Astyanax mexicanus: one gene and its partner. The protein of the gene in region 2 purifies or fractionates together with the protein of the main gene of each other region. This does not show direct contact. Links are inferred from orthologs where the notes say so. Each region holds a gene or a part of one and is shown on either strand. Other genes may lie near its edges.

Region 1 (7,727 bases), on a different chromosome or scaffold from region 2:
CCAGTGTGAGAGCTGTCCCTCTGGGTAGAGTTTCCGGATTTCATTCACAGCAAAATAAGCTGGAAGGAGACAAGCATTCCTGTCCAGGATGTACTCCACCACCTTCAACAACAACAACAGAGATCCATGTTATTAATATAAATACAGTGGTCCTTATTCTCAAACCAAAAAGAAGAGCCCATGTTGCTTTCCACATTTCAACACAACTGACTTGGACCACAAAGGGCTTCATAATCATCCCAGAAATATATTTATGTTACAGCAAAAAAAACTAACTTGTCCCACATGCTATGATTTTGAATAGTAATAATGATTTGTGAGTTTTAAACAGGCTATTAAAAGTTTTAAGACTGTCTATTCTGGGGCTATCTTGTCTATCTTGGCTAGCCCTAGCTGACAGAACCAGGCTCTTCCTTTATTGTTCAATATCACTTATCGTAAATGTATTGTAATAAAAGATGTAGCTATTCCATGCTACACTGAACTATACCTCTCGCACAGGCAGCAGCTGATGCACTACAGCCGAGCTGACCAGGTTGGGGATGGTCTGAACTTTATCCAAAACAGCCTTCAGAAGGTCTCTCACACCCTGCAACAGAACACAAAACAGGTGGTTATGTTTTAGGCCATCTAACAACAGATTAACACTTCCAAGTTAACATTTAGTAAATGGTTGGAGACAGACATGTGTTAGTATTTGGTAACAAAACATATGCCCCCCGCTCGACTGTGTTTTTATTCCCTAACTATTAAAGCGCATAACACAAAATGAGACCATAGGCAAATACTCAAAACTAGTTTTTTGAATGTTAAAGTGTTAATGCATTCAATTATTCTGGAATTTTATATAAAGTGAAGATTCCACTGTACCTTATAATCAACTCCACCGATGATTTTGCGAATGAGTTTAAAGGTCAAAGCCCAGAGTTGTGTGCGTTCCCACTCCAGAGAATCAGAGTTGATCAGAGCCTGGCAGACCATTCTATAAACACAAAAACACACAATATTATTTATAATATTCATCATAATATTTTTTATTATTTACACACAGTTCACAATACACCACTAAAATCGATTAACAGTCTGTTGTGTTCATAGATCAATAAAACATTTTTTTTTTTAACTAGATTTATTTTATTAAATTTTATTATTAGCCTTACTTCTACCACTACAGTTTTGTGTAATTTGTCTTATACATGTAAGTACCTGGGGGGCAGCAGACTGGTCTCCACCGCCATGGCCAAGCAGTCATAGAGGAAGGAGATGCGTTTTGGACTGTGCTGGCTGTGGATAAACCTCACGATCCACTGCACACACTGCTCATGGGACTCCTGCAGAAAAGAGCAGCACTGCATAATGCCCCATGATATACTTAAAAGTTAATAAAAGGACAAGACAATGCCCTGGGGCAAAGTGGCACAGGTTTTTGTGTAACTAACCTCAGGAAGACTGCTCCAGTATTGCCTGAATGCTCCTAAACAGCTGATAAGTTTGGTTCTTTCATCTTCAGGGGTGTCCATAAACATCCTGTAGTTATAGAAATATAATTTATACTTAATTTAGAAGAACATGCCACATAACCACAAATGTTTGTATGATGTAAAAACTCAATGTATACTGTCACATACCCAGCGAAAGCCTCCTCAATTACTTCTGTTTTCTGAGGGGTAAAAAAAAAAAACATGAATTTTTACAAAGCTTTGATTATGAATTACATAAAACGAAGACATTAATAATCTTATGAACACAAGAAATTGGTGTTATCTTCCATTTTTAAGTGTATAACAGCAACATTTCTAATTTGTATAAAAATCAGTCAGGGGTGGGCAACATGACTTTAAAATATTATCATCATAATCCAATCTATTTTTGCGATAACTATAGTCTGGAATGACAAAAAAAGATCAAGAATACACTGCTGCAACAAAGACTGCTTTCAAGAATATTGCTATTATCACGATATTCAGTTTTTATAGTCTCACATTTGTACGATATTAATAAATATGATACAATATGCCACAGCCCTAACTGAAGTAAAATATCTGTGTATCACAATGACAGAGGGGGATTTTGTGCAAAGCAAAATGTGACATCATTTATAATTTTCTATTTTGTAGAATTTCCCCTCAGGGATCAATAAAGTATCTATCTATCTATCTATCTATCTATCTATCTATCTATCTATCTATCTATCACACTTTTTTTAGGTGGAGGTCAAAACCAAAACTGCAGACTTTACAACGTTTCTCTGCACATTTTATTTTTAATAATCAGGCTCCAGATTTTAAGATATGGCCAAATATAGGTTATATATATAGTGTGTCTGTGGTGTAGCTGGCCTAATTTTGATCAAAATAAGTGTATTTTTCTCTGAGGCTGTTTAAATCAATTTATTCTACCTCAAGCTACATGAACACTTTAACTGTTGCTTCTGGTTTTACTCCATATTTTCTGAGATAATTAGGTTATGTTCAGATAACGTTAGCTAAACTCGGTAAGTGAATGGTTTATCTGAACCTTAACCGTCATTTAGCTAACTCAGAGAGCATCGTAGAGAAGACAATGGTAACCTAGCTAATGCTAGCTAACCTAAAAGCTAAGCTAGCTAACGTTAGCTAACTCTTCATACAGCTTTCAGCGTGGAGATTAACCCCCGTTTACTAAGGAGCTAATGGAATGCTTAATACAGTGAAGTTATAGATAATCATATCTGAGCTCCTGTTATAAAGTTGGGGGAGTTTAAATCAGTTCAGTTTTTCTGATAAGGGCTAGTTTCTCTAGCTCGGCTAAAGCGACTCTAACTCTCCGTTTCAGCTCCAGAAACACAAACACGCACCACCACGTCCTCAAAGATACTCTGCAGCTGACTCTCCATCGGGACCGCCATGGTTTAACCCTCACAGCGTAGAAAAAGCGCCGGAATATTTTACACTTAGTTTAATTTCTGCTTTAGATACATGATCAGCCGCTCCTCCTACAGCGGAGCCGCCGCGCAGCTTCAATAACAATCCCCCCTCCTGATCCTCCAGCAGCCCCAAACCAGGGTTCCGGATCCAGTAAAAACACTCCTCCTCCTCCTCGTTATTCTCTACAAAAAACTGGCATATTCCACAGAATCTGTGCCATTTCTGTCTCCAGGAAATGACATATATAAATGTGCACACAAAATAACGTTAAAATACATTTTATTAATAAGCATAGTGTCTTGACCTAATTGCAAAAGTAAGATATGTAATATATATATATATATATATAGAACACTGAAAAAATAGCATTTGTTACCTGTCCCCACTCTCTATAAATTTTACCATAAAATATAATTATTAAAATCCTTCACATGTAATTTTCTTGCATTGCTTTGTGACTTCAAGTCCCATGTATGCTTTAAAATATTTTCCATATAAATCCATAATATTAAATATCCATAATATACATATATTATATCCATAAAGTTAAAATACACATTTATTTGTGTCCCTGGTTTTCACTCTTTCCTGTTACCGTCACACAATACCCCATCTGAAACATCTAGAACAGGGGTATTTAAATAGAATTCAGTACGGTCCAGTTAAAGAAAATTTTGCCAGGCCAAGGTCCGGACCTTCGCCATTTTTAACTTGCGTTATGATTTAGTATTATATCCTGTACACTGAAGAAGCCTTGTAGTTCTGTCAGTGTTACAAATTACACATACTAGTACATTTCAACAATATGTATTGTTGTAAATAGGTCTGTCACAATAATTACATTATCAACCTATCATAAAATAAATTAAAACACCCTGAATAATTTAACTTATCGAGTCTATTAATGTGAATCTGTATGTTAACTTTGTTTCAAAATGCTATATATTTATTCTATTTTTATTTATATTAGATTTAGGCCTGCCTGTCATGATAATTACATGAATGACAAATCATACAATATATGGAGAAATGTTTGCTGAACTTGTATCAGCTTTGTTTAAAAACAGCAGTTTTATTGTATTTAATATTAGTACTGTATCAGACTTTATTATGTTGTGGGTAAAACTGATGGGGGAGTTGTCAATGCTTTTTGTCCTCTGGGGGTTGCCTTAGTTTTAAGGTAGGGTTGTTTCGGGAGTAGAGAGAGCGCCTGCGAACGAGGGAGTTCTGATCAGGTGGAGTAAAGTGGACTGTTTTGCTCGGTTACATTACATTATCATCTTAATTTATTTTTTATTTTCTCGCTTTATTCTCCGATTTCTCACCGCCTGCTTCGCCTGTGTGGCTCCGTGCTCCCGCATATGCACAGATCTGATTGGCAGAGGAGAGCGTTTGCTGATCTTACAGCACACGTGATTGGGGTGTAAGTTTAATGCGTCGCAAAGCACGTGAACCATAAAAACAATAAAAGTTCCACCGCTTTAAATGAACACTGTCAGAATTAAATCCTTCTCAGTAGTTTATTGGTTTGGGTCCGGATTGGACAATGTCTGGGTCCGGACCCGGACCGCGGTCCGCCTATTAGTGACCCCTGAGAATATTCTACAAGTCACATCTACAACAGGAAGTTCCATCAGCTGTAAACAACATGCAGCTATATGTGTTGTTTCTTGAACGACATTGCCATCCTTAATCAATTTACTTTTATAAAAATACAGCTAACCTGTACAACAGTGGATCCTTTTAACTTTGTATGAACTCTTCCCTTTCCCCCCCTTAGTTTGTCCTTCCAGCAAAATTTGAGCCTAATTTGTCCTGCACAGTTTAATGTATTTATATGTTTGTATTTAGAAATAATCAAAGAATTAAAACATAATAACAACTAATGTTCTGTATATTTATTATCAACACAATTTGTCCCACAACAAAAGAGGCTTTATATCTTTATTTATTTATATACTTGTGTTTTATATTTTTTTGTGTGAAGGGAAACTGCATGGTTTGGCTGCTGACTCATCACCATTTTTAAAAACAAATATTCCAGTCAACAAAATATGATCAATGGTGTTAAAGGCTTTCATTTAAAATAATGAACATCGTGTGGCTCTATAAAGACCATGAGCAATGACATAAATATTATACATAAAAAAAATGTGGTGAGTGATGCTCAACACTAGGGGGCAGTGCTTCCCCAGAGTAAACACCACAGGTCGGATTTAAAACATGACCGCTTTGCAGTGGAGTCAGTAGGCTGGCTACTGAAAAGAGAAGGGTATAGCTGCAGCCTGGAGCACCTCCAAAGGGGAGGAACATTCCCTTCAAACAGGCGGAGCCTACCTCCAAGTAGGATGGTGCTTGATGTTACGCAGCATGGTGTTTTTTACAACGTTTTGTGCTTGTAAATAACCCCAAAGGTTAATTAATTAATCTATTTCGTTTATTAAATGTTTGTTTATATTAAAATGCATTTTCTAAGAGTCTAAAAGCATGTTGTGCACATTGCAACTACATTTTATTTATTTAAAACCTTTAAACATTTGCCATGCTGTGAATTTTTCAAATTATAAAATAGTAAAGATCTAAATAATAAATGCAGTTGTTTATTCATAGCCAATAATATTATAAATACATACACACTACACGTATATTATTATATTGACATTTAAGAAATATAAATAATCATTAATTGTTGACTAATATATTTATTGACATCCATGAGCCTTTTAATCACGGAGGACTTTTGTTGTGGCATTCGGCAGAGAAATGGAGCTGTGTTGAGTGATGTCTCCCTGCCTTACGATGTAGATTTTTATATAATATAATATAATATGATGTGATAGTACATTCTATATAACATTAAATTTGATGTAATAGAATAATAGTAATAATAATAATCACGTAAGACTTTTATTATGACATTCGTCGGAGCCGTGGTGAGAGAGGTCTCGCGCACAAACGCGCTCCCAGTCGAGCTGTATACTGTTGATGGACTTCCCACTTGGAGGTAAGCCCCTCCCCTTTGGAGCTGTGGACGTCCCATTTGGAGCTAAGCCCCTCCTCTTTGGAGGTGCTCCAGTCTGCAGCAATACATACTTGACTGAAAAGCTCTCATGGTGTCTGTTTTATCTGAAATGTGGTTGCTGTTGGATGATTTGTGAGGCATTTATTGACAGTGACATGTTTATGTTATTCCCCTGACCTTAAAGGAATGATTTAATCAAATGTCAGATTTTCACAACTTCTCCGAATATTGTTTGTTTGTTTGATTAGTTACACTAGAGCTGCTAGATTAATGCAGAGGAAGCTTATAAACCAGCAATTAGCATGATGCTAACTGTGTTCCTAAATATCACACACTCTCCTCAGACTGAAGTTGTTAAAGCAGCCAGGGGCGGATCTAGCCATTTTGGGGCCCTCATTCTTAAAACACACACATAAACCAAATAACTAGAGATGGAACGATCGATCGGCAGTGTATCGGTATCAGACGATGTTCAGCCAAATACGGTATCGGCGATCGGCAGATATTCTTCTGATTTTAGCCGATCTGATTCAGGAGTTTAGGGATAAGCAGTTTATCAGAGCTGTGTGTGGATGAAACTGGTGAAACCGGTGAAACTGCTCGCTTACAGGAAGCTGCAGTTCCTCATCCAACCACTAGTCGGAGCTGCAGCAGCACAATCCCCGCTGTCCAGTGTTGCCAACTTAGCGACTTTGTCCCACACACACACCGCTCCACGAACACATTGTAAATGAATCGCGCGTGCCCACAGCCGCCGCTGACTGACCCCGCTCTGTATTTACAGAGCAGAAGTATAAATATTAAAGTGCCTTCAGTGTAACACGAACAGAAATCCCTTAATTTAATTCACAAAGTCTCAATCATTCACTCACCTCATTCACCACATAGCCTGTCACTCACCTCCTCCACAGTGTCTGCCTCTTTATAAAAAGCTAAATATCTTTTGAACCATTGAACAATTTGTCTATGATAGGTTTAAAAATAAAGAAAACTTAAGAAAACGTAAAAAAATAAAAATAAAATAAAACAAATCTAAATACAAAGCTAAAAAAATTAATAAATAAAACAAAGCTAAATATCTATTGAACCATTGAACAATTTGTCTATTATAGGTTTAAATATAAAGAAAACTTAAGAAAATGTAAAATAAATAAATAAATAAATAAAACAAACAAACTAAAAAAAAAACTGAAAAAAAAAAAACTAAAAAAAAAACGTAGAATAACAGTTCCGGCTGCTGGCATGGCAAAAAAATAATTTATGTAATTCACATAAAAATTAAGTTATTGTAAACAAAAGTGACGTCCTATTTAAAAAGCAACAGAAGTTGTTCATTTGTAACATTTCTAACATATTTATGGTGTTTTTTACTCCCTTTTTTCTCTCCCACAACCTTAATCCTTTACAGCTTCAAAAAATATATTATGCAAATTAGTTAATGACGTCATTTAGCGACTTCTAGCGACTTTTAGGACAGCCAAGCTACTTTCCTTACTGTGGAGTTGGCAACACTGCCGCTGTCTTTATTCAGTCAGACCTACAGCCCAGCCACGGGCTACAGGCTCAGCTCAGACAGTCTGGAGCGTTTTTTTTTTTTTTTTTTTTTTTTTATAAGGAAATAAAGGTTTTAACCCCACTAACCGGATAATACAGCTCTCTACAGTTCATCTTTCAGCCCAAGCAGCTAACAGCAGCAGTTTAGAGCAGCCGTCACGGAGTCACTGCTGGGATTACATTATAAACAGGTCAGTTAGCACGCTGCTAACCTCAGGATGTTTATAACTACGGAGTTTAGTGGA
Region 2 (6,923 bases):
AGCAGTGATCAAAACATGATCAAATGTTAACAGTGCTGTTACCACAAGCAAACTACAGCATACGGACTGCTTCAACTGAAACGTGAAAGGATATGTTCTTAGAAAATATGTTTGGTTTATTAGACACAGCTTTGACATTTTCAGCAGTAAAAAATAAAAAATAAAAAATTATCTAACAGCAACTAAAGCACAGTCAAAATCAGTAAAGTCACACGAATGATGGGGAAAAGCACAGTCCCTTGTGTGGAACAGTTCTTTTTCAGATGAGTTTGTCTGTCAATAAATAATCCATCTGTCCTTATTTACTCTGTAGAATCCTCTGATCCTCTTCCTCAGGAAGGCTTGGGGATGTCAAACATACACAGGCCCTTGTACTTGTGTAAGAGCTGGTTCTTGGTACGAACCTGATCCCTAAGCGTTTGCAGACGCTGCTGCTGTGCTGATGGACTCGCATCAATGCCAGGCATAGCTGAAATCTGCTCCCGTGCCTCCTGAATCCGTGCTCTCAGTCTGTTTAACTCCTGGTGAACATCCTGGTTCTCTTTGTCCATGCTGTGGATGCAGAGCCAGATATATCCATTTTAAAAAAGACACAGTGCAGGTAATACAACAGCAATAAGTAAAGATGAGTATCAAAAATCTGTACTTTAACAGGACAAGATTAGTAACTTATATTATTCTACTGATTAGCAGCTATGACTCTATAAGCATTTCTAAAATTTAAGGATTCAAGGAGACTTTATTGTGGTTCACATTAAATGTGGTGCATGAGACTAAAGACAACTGTATTCTCATGGTCCAGTTACACCAAAAAGAGCAATTGTTAAAATAGTTAAAATAATATAAATATAAGAAAAAAATAAAACAGCATAAAAATAAAATAATATAAAACCATACATACAGCAATATGAAATCAAGAGTGCAACTTTTGCTATAGCAGCATGGAAATGTGTGAACGAAAAGCAGTAACATATTACATCCAAACATCTGATTGGCTGTCAAATTTGCATTGCTGAATTTTATCATAAATACTTCAGAGTGGGTTTGGGGTTGAATGCTCTGTTGTAATGAAACTTACCAAATCAAATTTGTTTACAGAATGTTATTACAGCAAATGTTTTTCAAATACACTGCCTGATATCTGAGATACCCCTGGCAAAATGTACCAAAAAAGTATCTGTTCAGATTCACCACCACAATTACATTTAAAACTTTAACCTTATTTATTTTAGTGGTGGGCATGACGATATTTTATTGTAATAAGATGCATTTTCTTATTTAATTAACATTAAACATGTTTATGCATCAGTAGTATAGGAAAGCATTTTAATTGTATATTTTATGGATCTGTCACTACTGATGCATCTTGACCCCCATTTCAAAACAATTTTTCACCACCTTCCTTAATAATAGCCTTTTTTTTTTTTTACCAAAATTGTTGTGTCTGTCTAAAGCATCTCTTTATGGTGCTGTATTGCCACCTGTGGTAAATTCTTCTACAGCCTCAGCTGATCAGATTATTTGATTCTACCCCCTTAGGAATAATGCCCTATTTCAGAATGACTTAAGCTTTATTATGCCTAATACAAGTTTAATTAAGTTTCCTTTTATAATAATAAAGGCTACAAATAGACTATGCATTTTGCATGGCTGGTTAATCTTATTAGGTTTTATTGGGGTTTTAGTCTGCATTTTTGTCAGCAAAATATAACTAAAAGCATTAAAAACAAAGCTAGGTAGAAATGTGCTACAATTTGTGGCTGTTAAAATGTTTTCTGTCTTTAATTGTTTTTTGTCTTTTCAAAATTTTGATATAGCACTGATTCTGGTTTGTTTTACTGATGGGTTGTATGATAACTTTTTAAGAGGATAGTTTATCATCTGAAAAACGTGAGAAAATGTATTTTATTTTGATTATTTTAGGAAAGTGTCGATATTGAAATCTGATTATGATTAATTTATTTGTTTATCCTCCAAAGCTTTTGGTCAGTTTCTGTATAAAGTGATATTTGGACAAATTGTGGGTCACTGTAATGTTTATCAGTATTTTCTGACTATGAGAGGCAAAATTAGAGTGTGTATTATTTTTTTCTATTTGGCATTATGAAGAAAATACGGTTTTCATCCGTTTTCCCAATGTTCTATTAATCAGGAAATTTCAGGGAAAAAATGAATTTATGTTACTATTTTTCCATCCTGTTGCAAAAGTAGTTTGTAACAGATTAAATTAGTTACACTGAACATCTGGGTGTAAGAAACAGACGTTATAGAAAATAAAATAAAGCTACACTAGCTAAAAAAGTTTACTTAATGTTAGTTAGCCAGCATGGAAGTAAACAAATAACAATACCTAGCTAGCTAGCTAACCTACAAGTTTAGCTGAACAAAATATATGTTAATTAATGCTTATTGTCCTTAGGGTTTTGTTGTCAGCAGACATTCATTGGTGCAATAAGAGTTACATGTTTGTTTAACTGTATAATTTGGACATAAGTTTATAGAGGCTGTGTTAGAGTGACCCGAGTTTGGAATTGTCCGTTCCACCTTAAAGGTTGCAGCAGTTAGCTAGGGTTAGCTTAGCTTAGCTACGTTCTGGCGCCTCAGATGCTAGCTAACCTTTTAAGGTGGAACAGACAATAGCCACAGCACTCTTTTACAGCGTCACATGTAGGTTAGCTGTTTAATTACACTTTTATGCTGCCTTATTTATCCTGCATATAATAACAGTGTATATACAGCTCTATATTTTACACATCTTTAATTAAAATAATACTGTTTCTCGAGCAGTAAAGCGGGAACTCAGAAGCTCTCTGCTAACTAGCGTTAGCCTAGCTAACCTAGCGTTAGCTTTTGTAGCTGGTCCCGATAGTTTACCGGCCGTAAACCGGTATTTTCTGTATTCAGACTTTGTATTTTGGGCTTGTTCAGTTGACGACAGTCTAGTTTAGGGCTGTAAACTCTTACCATTTGATAATATCGTGAATTAGAGGTAAAAAGGAGTAATCCTCCGTCTCCTCCACCACAGCCACAGCGCTCGCCATCTTCAGCTGACTGTCCTCTGACATCACAGTCCTCTGACATCAGCAACACAGACCAATCTGACTATTATTCAGATTATTATTATTAATAATATTAGCTATTAATCACTGCAAGGCTCGCGTGCCTCGGCGTGTGACGTTTCTTTTTGTCTTTGTTTGCATTTGCATTTTTCACGTATTAAACACATGTATTCAACTCAACTCAACTCAACTCAACTTTATTTATAGAGCACTTTAAAAACAACAACAGCTGCAACAAAGTGCTGTACATAGCACATTATAAGATAAGAAACAAAATACTAGAAACAATGACAAATTAAAATGTAGGTATCAATAAAAAGTTTCAGATAAATCTAAGAACTAAGTAAAGTAAAAGTAAAAACAAAATAAAATAAAAACAGAAATAAAATAAATAAAAATAAATAAAAAATTAAAAAAATAATTAATTAATAAATAAAACAAGAACAAAGTCTTAAGTTGGGTTAAAAGCCAAGGAATAAAAATGAGTCTTTAGCCTGGTTTTAAACGTGGACAGTGACGGGGCTTGTCTGACATATAGTGGTAGGCCATTCCACAGTTTAGGAGCCGCAATTGAAAAAGCTCTATCCCCTCTAAGCTTGCGTTTTGACCTCGGCACCTCCAGGAGCAGCTGATCAGCTGACCTAAGGTACCGAGCGGGGGCGTGGGGGCAGAGCAGCTCAGTGAGGTAAGGCGGAGCGAGTCCATTTAAAGATTTAAAAACAAATAAAAGAATCTTAAAATGAACTCTAAAATGCACAGGCAGCCAGTGGAGGGAGGCCAGAATGGGAGTAATGTGCTCTCTCTTGCGTGAACCTGTTAAAAGTCGGGCAGCGGCATTTTGCACTAACTGAAGGCGTTTAAGGGAGGACTGATTGACCCCAAAATATAGTGCATTACAGTAATCCAGCCGGGATGTAATGAAGGCATGGATTACTGTTTCAAAGTGCTCATGTGTGAGAACTGACTTCACTTTTGCCAGCTGCCTAAGGTGGAAGAAGCTGGACTTGACTACTGCACCAATCTGGCGATCCAATTTAAAATCACTGTCCATCTTAAAACCCAGGTTAGAAACTGTAGGTTTCACATACAGCGCCAAGGGGCCCAAATCAACAGGGGGGGCTTCACAAGAACCACTGGGACCAAACACCATCACTTCTGTTTTCTTTTCATTAAAATTCAAAAAGTTTAAAGCCATCCAGGCTTTAATGTCATTAAGACATAACAGAAGTGGTTGAATAGAGAAATCGTCTTCATTTATTATGTTCTAATTAAAGTATCAGTAAAACATTTGGACACACCTTGACCCTTTCAACTCTGAGTTATGTTCCAAAGAGGGATAAGTATAAAAATGCTTTTTTTTCTACCTTTAATGCACACAAAGTAAGTAACTAATACCATAGTACCAACATTTTTATTTAATATGCGATATTGACCTTTATATGTTACAAACCATTTCTACACAGTGAAGTAAACATGGTTAATGTGTCAAAAATCACATATAAAATTAGTTAAAATAAGCTCTAATTACTTTGCCTCATTAGCATTAAGCCCTATCCGGATGGGATAAGTTTCTCTGTAAAAAAAATATTTCACACTTCCACTCAGTGATAAAACTCTTGCAACCAGACCTCATTTAAAAAACAGGAGGGCCAGTGAGTTTTTTAGCTTTCTCGGTCACATGACATCATGTTCAGTAGCCCCTCCATTTCCACTAGCTGTTGTGTTTACGAGGATCTTTGTGAAAACCTGCGCCCAAAGTGTAATTACGGTGCGTAGCAGTGGACAAATAGCTATTTTATTAAATGCGAGGTGATGGAACTCAGAGATGTGCGTCCGGATGGGACTAAATTACCAGAGGACCACGGAGTTCAGTGAAAAACTGTAGGCAATTCAGCCTATAATTTTCTTAGAGGACCCCTGAAAAAAACACATAAATGGTCGTTCTGGATGGTCATATCATAGAGGACCCCCATAATAGAGAAAACTAGCAAGCTGCCAAAGTCAGAGCAAACCTGGCTCTTAAAAGAGAATGGCACACGGATAGGTTTATTTCACATTATGGCCAAAACACACCCATGATTAATTAAGAGAATAAGAACGAGTTAGTTTCAATCTGTACAAGGTGTACTTTTCCAGTCGTTACAATAGCAAAGGCACACTGATTCACCCTAAATCAAGCTGCATGGTGCACGGTTGGTGGCTCACCTACAGATGACCTCTGTTGCACAGGATAAGTTCATCAACCTTACCAGCCTCAGAGTTACCAGCCTAAGAAACCTCAATTTAACAGCACTCCACTCAGACACAACTACTGCAAATTTGTGGTCTTTACTCTGACTCGAACCCTGGAAAGTCTGGGTCCTGATTCAACACTAGTTACTCTGGGCCGCTCTTACGTGGGACTTATGTAAGAACCTTTTCCAACCAGCTAAAACATCACATGGTCTCTGGCAGAGCTGAGCAGCATCCTGGTCAGATGAGGAAAGCTGGAGAGCACTATAGGGACCACATTGTTTGTCTCGACACACAAGGCTAGGGTTGGACAGGGAGATGATCTTCAGAGGCTTTTTGATTTAGCATGAAACAGTGAATCTGCAGCATCTGTGTATCGTTTCATCCACGGCTTCCTCCTGACTGGAACCAACCTACGCATGAGTCAGGCAATAGTTCAGTCAGAGATGGGATTTAACACGGCCGAGTCTCTTACATAGCTGGAGATCACGGGTGTGCTGTGGAGCTTTAAAGATATTCTGGATTATTCGTTTCGGGTCAATGTCTGATCTCTCCTTAGCAATAAAAGATGGCAAAAACATTGGTCTATTAAAAAACTGTTTACATTTTCAGATTCACCCTGTTTTCTGTAACTGTTTTTTAGTACGGTGTGATGGATGCAGCACCTAGGAGTAGGCCATTGTAAACTGGGCCACATCTGGACAAGGCTTACCTGTAAAACACCAAAAAACCCAGAAAACATACAATTTTGGGCCCACGCCCCAGTTAAGGTTCTTTGAGTTAAGATAAGTCTTCTGTAGTTCAAAACTAACAAAGTTGTACCCACACAGCTAATTCATGGTTCTCACTACTACACAATTTTAGTGCAGAATATTTTTTTGTAGTTTTTCCAAAAAGATGTGGCTAAATGATTGCAAAAGAGTCACAGAAGCACAGCAATCATCTAGCAGGTTTGATATCTGGACCAGTTGGCAAGCAACGACAACCTACAGCCAATGAGAATGCATATAGAAAGAATTAATGTATCTTCTGCATTGCATCACTAGTTCTTGTGTGCATTTGTTTTTGGAGAGCAGCAGATGATTTTGTGAAAAATTTGGTCTTACTAATGTGTCTCTAATAACTGTGTAGTTACACATTAACAATCCATGTAATAACAATGTAACTACTGTCAAAGTACACATTGTTACAGATAAGAATAGCCCTATTTGAGTAATGTTTTAATTCATATTATGGCAAGAACTACTCAATTAAGCAAAAGTCAACAGGACCACCCCAGAAGAAAAATAAACTTTTCACTCTTTCAACCCTAGGAGTTTCCTTGCTCTGGGACAAATCCAGTATATTATTATTTTTTTTATTGATGCATATGGATGGCACAGCTTTCACTACTGCCAGTGCTTAGTTCTTTTTGAGAAATTGTTGTTGTACTTTGTCTTTTGCGCCTCACATCTGTGACCCCTGGAGCATTTCTTTATCTTGTTTGTATTTTTTATGCCAGAAATCTGCATTGGGCTTTCTGAGCAGTCTGAACATAGCCTTGGTAAGCTAGTTAGGTTTCTATCTTTATTTTTTTATTTTCACAGCACTGTGTGTGTGCATTTACACACTTCGCTACACTGGAAATTATGA

Evidence for each region. Proteins that work in one complex are often made in the same cells at the same time.
Region 1: the proteins of med9 (region 2) and med23 purify together in Homo sapiens (co-immunoprecipitation; 3 studies listed by BioGRID and IntAct, with this or other methods). This does not show direct contact. The link is inferred for Astyanax mexicanus from reciprocal best matches to the Homo sapiens genes MED9 and MED23.

The regions. Positions count from the first base shown.
Region 1 is NC_064408.1:41,855,588-41,863,314, reverse strand, and holds the start of med23 (mediator of RNA polymerase II transcription subunit 23), read right to left. Parts: upstream 3,022-7,727; 5' UTR 2,888-3,021; coding exon 2,837-2,887; intron 1,661-2,836; coding exon 1,629-1,660; intron 1,528-1,628; coding exon 1,440-1,527; intron 1,332-1,439; coding exon 1,207-1,331; intron 983-1,206; coding exon 871-982; intron 590-870; coding exon 491-589; intron 103-490; coding exon 1-102. UniProt on the Homo sapiens protein: Required for transcriptional activation subsequent to the assembly of the pre-initiation complex. Component of the Mediator complex, a coactivator involved in the regulated transcription of nearly all RNA polymerase II-dependent genes.
Region 2 is NC_064422.1:7,758,464-7,765,386, forward strand, and holds med9 (mediator of RNA polymerase II transcription subunit 9), read right to left. Parts: upstream 3,088-6,923; 5' UTR 3,066-3,087; coding exon 2,965-3,065; intron 553-2,964; coding exon 333-552; 3' UTR 94-332; downstream 1-93.